Stegostoma tigrinum: one gene and its partner. The protein of the gene in region 1 interacts with the protein of each later gene in a pairwise test. Links are inferred from orthologs where the notes say so. Each region holds a gene or a part of one and is shown on either strand. Other genes may lie near its edges.

Region 1 (3,749 bases):
TGATGAGCAATTGAGAGGAAACCTCTATACCCAGACAGTAATGAAAATGTGCAAAGTCCTGCTGGGAGGGTCAAACTGATGAGCGCAGGAGCAGAGGGCCCTGGTGTGTACGTGCAGAGATTGTTAAAGTGGGAGGTCAGGGGAAGAGACGAGTTACAGCGGTAAGCTGATCATTAACAAGGGCCTCAGTTGGCTGTCCCACATCACCAGGAAGATGTGAATACATCAGAGACAGAACAAAAACAATTTACAACAATAGTTCCAGGGATGGGTAACATCAGCGATGAGGACAGGTTGGGGAAGTTGGGGCTGCTCTCTTTGGGAGATCTGACAGAAATCCCCAAGTGGGGTCTGGACAGGGTGGAGTGGTAGAAGTTGCTGAGAACAGCACAGTGTGGTGGGTGATGCTCCCCACTGGATCTATCACATTAGAGGTGCCCCCAAACCTGCACAGACTCCGACACCGGTTCCTGAGGGCCCTGCAAGACCCAGGCACCCTGTTACCAGCCAAGCACAGTACCCACCACCCCCGCCACCCTCCAACCCCACGGCTCGGGCACGGTCGCCCCACCTCCAACCCCATGTTCCGGACAAAATGCCCCCCAACCCCATGTCCCAGACAAACTGTCATCTCTCAGACGTCTCCACAACCCAAGTCACCCCTCCCCCCACTGAGATCCAGACAAACCCCTCCCCCAGACTCCACCCCCCCCGACCCATTGCCACCCTGCCGCCCGCCCCCCCCACCCAACCCCCGCCCCCGCCCACACAGCCCCCGGACGCCGCCCGCCGCCACCCAACCCCCGCCCACACAGCCCCCGGACGCCGCCCGCCCCCCCCGCCCAGCCCCCAGACCTCTCCGCCCCCCGCCCCCCACCCACACAGCCCCCAGACCCCTGCCGCCCCCCACCCACACAACCCTGCCGCCCCCCCACCCACACAGCCCCCACGCCCCTGCCGCCCCCCCCCCGCCCCCACCCACACAGCCCCACACGCCCCTTGCCGCCCCCCCCGCCCCCCCACCCACACAGCCCCCACGCCCCTGCCGCCCCCGCCCACCCACCCACACAGCCCCCACGCCCCTCCCACGCCTCTGCCCCCCCGCCCCCCACCCACACAGCCCCCACGCCCCTGCCGCCCCCGCCCACCCACCCACACAGCCCCCACGCCCCTCCCACGCCTCTGCCCCCCCGCCCCCCACCACACAGCCCCCACGCCCCTGCCGCCCCCGCCCACCCACCACACAGCCCCCACGCCCCTCCCACGCCCCTGCCGCCCCCGCCCCACCCACCCACACAGCCCCCACGCCCCTCCCACGCCTCTGCCCCCCCGCCCCCCACCCACACAGCACCCACGCCTCTGCCCCCCCGCCCCCCACCCACACAGCCCCCACGCCCTCTGCCCCCCCGCCCCCCACCCACACAGCCCCCACGCCCCTGCCGCCCCCGCCCACCCACCCACACAGCCCCACGCCCCTGCCGCCCCCCGCCCACCCACCCACACAGCCCCACGCCCCTGCCGCCCCCGCCCACCCACCCACACAGCCCCCACGCCCCTCCCGCCCCCGCCCACCCACCCCACACAGCCCCCACGCCCCTCCCACGCCACAGCCCCCCCGCCCCCCACCCACACGCCCCCCACCCCGCCACCAGCCCCCCGCCCCCCACCCACACGCCCCCCCACCCCGCCACAGCCCCCCCGCCCCCCACCCACACGCCCCCCACCCCGCCACAGCCCCCCCGCCCCCCACCCACAGCCCCCCCCGCCCCCCACCCACACGCCCCCACCCCCCCACAGACCCCTGCCACCCCCCCGCCCCCCACCCCCCCACAGACCCCTGCCACCCCCCCGCCCCCCACCCCCCACAGACCCCCGCCACCCCGCCGCAGACCCCCGCCGCCACCCCGCCCCCCGCCGCCCCCCCGCAGACCCCGCCGCCACCCCCGCCCCCCGCCGCCCCCCCGCAGACCCCGCCGCCCCCCCGCCCCCCCCCCGCAGGCCCCCGCCACCCCCCACCCCGCCCCCACCCCCCCACCCCCCCCGCCCCCCCCCCACCCCCACCCCCCCCACCCCCCACCCCCCACCCCCACCCCCCACCCCCCACAGACCCCTGCCACCCCCCCCACCCCCCACAGACCCCTGCCACCCCCCCCGCCCCCCACAGACCCCTGCCACCCCCCCGCCCCCCACCCACACAGCCCCCTGCCACCCCCCGCCCCCCACCCACACAGCCCCCTGCCACCCCCCCGCCCCCCACCCACACAGCCCCCTGCCACCCCCCCGCCCCCCACCCACACAGCCCCAGACCCCTGTCCTCCCCCCCTCTCTCTGACCAGTATAAATGGCCGCAGAGGCTGATGACCGCGTCCCTGGCGGTGTCCAGGCAGATGTTACACTCGAAGCTGCCCTTGTCGGCCTGGGCCTGCCCCGGCCGCTCCTCTCCCGCCGCCGCCGCCCTCTCGCTGCCCTCAGCCGCGGCCGCCATGACTGAACAAACACCACACTACCGCAGGTCCCGCCCCCTTCCTAACGGCCCGCCTTCTTAGGGGCGGACCCAGCGCGGACAGCGGTATTTATTGGGCTGGTCTGCCGTCGATCACTGGCTCTGGGCGGGAGCTGCCGCGGGATGCACGGTTCCCATTGGACATATTGTCGTCAATCAACGTTCGTTTCAAACACGCGGCCAATATCGATGTATGACTGGATCATATTCCAGTCAATCAGGTCTCGGGAGGCGGGGAAAGGTAGTTACGGGCTCCCATTGGATATCGCTACGGTCATGGTGTGCGCCAGGACCGGGTCACACCTCGACTATGAGCTCCCTTCAACAGGCTGCTGTCAATCATCGTCTGATTAATCTACATGGCCGTTATTCGCCATCTGATTCGGCTACACCGCCGTCAATCAGCCAGGCGGAAGCGGTTGTCGCTAGACCCCGGCTCCCATTGGATGGTATACCGCCCCGGGGCGGGTCACCGATAGACGTCGGCTCCAAATTGACTTAAACGTCGTCAATCAACAAACCCCGACTCCCATTGGACCAAGCCCCGTCGGTCACTATCTTATTGGTCAATGTAGCCGTCCATCACCTTCCGCCCTCTTATTTTTCTTCTTGCCATTGGTTGGGATTGTTGTCGATCGTAGCTCTCGGTGAATGATTGGTTGGAATTCTGACGGCAGCGGGAAGGACACCGGTCGGCGATCCGCCCAGCTCCCAGGTTCCGGGACTGAGGTAACACGGTGTGGAGCTGGGTGAACCCAGCAGCAGCAGCAGCAGCATCATCCTCCGACACTTCCGCCATTTACAATCCAACCCCACCACCCAAGACATTTTTCCATCCCCACCCCTGTCTGTTTTCCGGAGAGACCACTCTCTCCGTGACTCCCTTGTTTGCTCCACACTGCCCTCCAACCCCACGACACCCGGCACCTTCCCCTGCAACTGCAGGAAACGCTACACTTGCCCCCACACCTCCTCCCTCACCCCTATCCCAGGCCCCAAGATGACTTTCCATATTAAGCAGAGGTTCACCTGCACATCTGCCAATGTGGTATACTGCATCCACTGTACCCGGTGTGGCTACCTCTACATTGGGGAAACCAAGCGGAGGCTTGGGGACCGCTTTGCAGAACACCTCCGCTCAGTTTGCAACAAACAACTGCACCTCCCAGTCGCAAACCATTTCCACTCCCCCCCCCCATTCTTTAGATGACATGTCCAACATGGGCCTCCTGCACTGCCACAATGA
Region 2 (3,749 bases), on another chromosome or scaffold:
CAACATCTTCCAGCAGAGATCCTAAACTAAGTTGCCAGTCATCTTTTCCTTGCAGCGAGGGAGTCAGTGCAAAAGAATATAAAACACATAATCTATAATGGGCTTAAAAATCAACATGAGCAGAACAGTGCAGTCCTGATTCATACAAAATCACAGAACTAGAAAAGCATTCAGGAGCCTGAAATGTGGCAAAGCAACATGATATGATGACAACATTGCACCAGAATTCCTGTGCCTGCTGACTCAGCTCAACTAAATTCATGAATGAGTCGGGTATGGGAAAGATCATTCCACAGAACGGAAAAGATCTCAGATTGGAGATAATGGGAACTGCAGATGCTGGATAATCCGAGATAACAAAGTGTGGAGCTGGATGAACACAGCAGGCCAAGCAGCATTTTAGGAGCATAAAAGCTGACGTTTCGGGATCTCAGATTGGACAGCCAGTTATCAACCGACTTGTTTGTGTGCTTTAAGATCGAAAATATCTTTGATGTCGATTCTGTTTCTGCAGTGCGTGTCCAACTTTGCACATTCACCAACCACATGGAAAATGTCTTCCAAAGAACGTGAAGTCAGGCATAAGTGCTGCTGGACCGCACAGTTGCCCATAATACAGTGTAGCACAGCTGTCCAGAGTGTTTCCAACCTGGGTAATTTTCTTCGCAATAGACAATTTAGAGAAGTGCATGGAGAACACTGGCCAATGGGCTACTATAGGGGAGGGTGGTATGTATGTTGAAGATAGGAGTTGCATGGGTAAAGCAATAAGCGATGGGTGGAGATGGAGCCCACCTTTTCCAATCTAGCTGAGGAAAGCTCAGGGCTCTCTGGACCCAGAACATTAACTCTGCTTTCTCTCTGCCACACCTGCTGACTTTCTTCAGTAACTTCAGATTCCCAGCATCCGCAGGTCAACGTTTTATTTCGTGTTTTGACGCTCTTCCACCAACATCGCACGCCTCGGTGTCAGGCAATCACGGAGAAGTTCCCAACGGTCTCATGCCCGGGAAGCGCGCACGCCGTGACCACATTGCTTGAGAGAAACTGTGCGTGCCCGACCCCGCGTGCGTCATGACGCAATCCCGTTGAGCGGTGTCTCTGGCACGGAGGGGGGCGGGGGGAAAAGGGGGGGTTTCCATCATGGCGTCAATGCAGGTGAGTGTCTGATGTGTTCGGCGGCGCTTCAGTGGACGCCTTCTCTCTTTCCTGCTGGGGTGGCCGTGTCAGTTTCTCTCCGCATTCGAGGGAAGAGCCGGCCCTAAGACCTCCTCGGTATCTGCATCTCGTCTTTTCAGCTGGGGTTGGGGGGTTGGAGGGTCGGGGGGAGCGGATAAACGATGAAGCCGAGTGGAGCGGCCCGCGATTGTTTGTGTACGTTTTCACAAATTTGCGGGCTTCTTAAAACCGCGGCGGTGAAAAGTGCAGAGGGTTTTGGGCGCATTCCTAATGGAGTGGGATGTCGATCCCTGAGCCCTGGGTGGTGGTTGGGGTGACTTGGGCTCCATCTCTCCGCCTGCCCCTTGTTTCTTTCCATCCAGGTGATGGCAACAGCATCATCGCGCCCTGTGAAGGTTATAGGTGCCAGCGACACCTGTCGAGGCCCACCACAGGAACAGCAATGGGCTCAGGAGTCACCTCTGCCATCAGCAATCGTTATATGACTTGAGTTGGGCTTCTTCAATTTCAGAACCTTTAACTTTGCTCCTCGTTTCCACGTTCTCACCCCGATGTGTGCTTATCCTGTCGGGGATCAAGCCTGACCACTTGTTTAAATACACAGTACGTGGACTAACACCTCATCTGTGTACGCATCCTCCGTGGTAAAACTTGCATCAGTTCAGTAAATAAAGGCCGTCCATTTTTATTAATAGTTATCCACATCTTGAAAAATGTGATTGGCCGAGTTACTGCACTTTTTTTCGTGCATATATATGTAAAACTGTCAAGCTTGTATTAGCCCTGCAATTGTACTGATTAGCTGAGTTTGTGAAGGAAATAACTACAGTATTAATTTGGGAAGGTATGAAATTAGGCAAAAAATTTACACTTCAGAATTTTTACACAACTGCATTCAAATATGTCAATTTTAAAGTGAAAATCAATTGGAAGCAAACCTTCACAGAATTGGGGATAATTACAATTTGGAAAATTATACACCAGTTTACCTAATATTACAGTAACCCATTTTTTCTAACTGTTCTGTTTTCTCTAATAGAAAAGGTTACAGAAGGAGCTAATGGCTTTGCAAAATGACCCACCCCCAGGAATGACTTTAAATGAGAAGAGTGTACAAAATTCAATAACGCAGTATGTACTTTAATATTTTAATGTTAATTTTAAAATGTGAAAAGCCAGTATAAGGCAGGTAGAGTTTTTAAAATTACTGGCAGTTTTACTAGAATCAAAGATTATTTTCTAGTGTCATTGCTATTTAGTTATCAGGATATGGACAGGATTTGTGCGCTCTGTTAAACAACTTGTATTAGACAATAGACAATAGGTACTGGAGTAGGCTATTCGGCCCTTCGAGCCAGCACCACCATTCATTATGATCATGGCTGATCATCCACATGATTGCATTGTTTCTAAGAAGGTGTATTTCAGGTTACAAGATGATCGTTGGACTAATCATGTTTTGTAAATAAGTTGATGTAGTATGATTGTACAGTGTGTATATTTTAATGGAATTTGCTGGATGTATATCGTGTGGAGTAGTTTTTTTAAGGTGCATATAAATAATAGAAGTATAACAGCTCAAAAGCTAAGTTTGCAATAATAGCTTGTTTTAAGAATGTTGGCTTTGAATATATTACTGGAAATTTGAGGACACTACAAGAACTGGTGGATTGTTTCTGAATCTATTGTACTATGAGATATGACTGACACTTAAGTAGTTTTAATGTGGTGATTGTTTGTTTACTGAATTAGTTATATACTGTCAGTGTTTTTGCAGTATAATGAGCATTGTCTTATATCCTATGGTATACATTGCGTGTGTTTATCTTGACTTAGGGAGTTAACAATGTCTGACTATTAATAGCAGTAACTCTGAAATGTTTCTGTTCTTAATATTTGTACGTACCTTCATTGTTTAATTTTTCACAGTATCAAATAGTTTTGAATTGTATATATTTTCAGCGTAACAACTTATAAAGTCTCTGCATGTATGAACACACTTACTTATTTTACCTGGTTCCTCTGATGTCTGACCAGTTTCAGTTTCATACTTGCTGTATGTAATGAGTTGAATGTGTAAGTGAAATATACAGAATGATGCAATGGAATCATGTGTTTCTTTTAAAAAAAATTTGATTTGCAAGAAGATTAGTCCTGTAAATGATCGCTTGCAATATGTAGCATTGTGCAGGTTTATAGAATGTGTACTGCATTTAACTCAGTTAATTCACAACGAAAGGAATTGAATTATAATCTTGTTTATTAAGAAACTTTGTAGAAGTATGATGCATACATTTAATCTGAATGTTTAAATCTCCTCATACCTCACCCCACTTGCCCATCTCTCCTCACGCCAACCAATTGTCCATCTCTCCTCGTTTCTCCCCCCCCCCCCCCCCCCCCACTCGTCCATCTTCTGACACGTGTCGGCTCCACGCTTCCCACTGACCAACCACAATAACCCCTACTTGCATCACCACCATCAAAATCTCTCCATCCCCAACATTTTCATCTTCCTACTCACTAACTACCTGCATCCACCTATCTCCATCTCACCTAGCTTCCCTCCA

Evidence for each region. The genes of interacting proteins can lie anywhere in the genome.
Region 2: the proteins of rnf5 (region 1) and ube2wb interact in binary tests that used the Homo sapiens proteins (3 or more experiments, as listed by UniProt). The link is inferred for Stegostoma tigrinum from reciprocal best matches to the Homo sapiens genes RNF5 and UBE2W.

Annotation. Positions count from the first base shown.
Region 1 is NC_081387.1:28,193,860-28,197,608, reverse strand, and holds the start of rnf5 (E3 ubiquitin-protein ligase RNF5), read right to left. Parts: upstream 2,519-3,749; 5' UTR 2,486-2,518; coding exon 2,334-2,485; intron 1-2,333. UniProt on the Homo sapiens protein: Membrane-bound E3 ubiquitin-protein ligase that mediates ubiquitination of target proteins. May function together with E2 ubiquitin-conjugating enzymes UBE2D1/UBCH5A and UBE2D2/UBC4.
Region 2 is NC_081358.1:26,385,312-26,389,060, forward strand, and holds the start of ube2wb (probable ubiquitin-conjugating enzyme E2 W-B), read left to right. Parts: upstream 1-1,113; 5' UTR 1,114-1,143; coding exon 1,144-1,158; intron 1,159-2,218; coding exon 2,219-2,310; intron 2,311-3,749. UniProt on the Homo sapiens protein: Accepts ubiquitin from the E1 complex and catalyzes its covalent attachment to other proteins.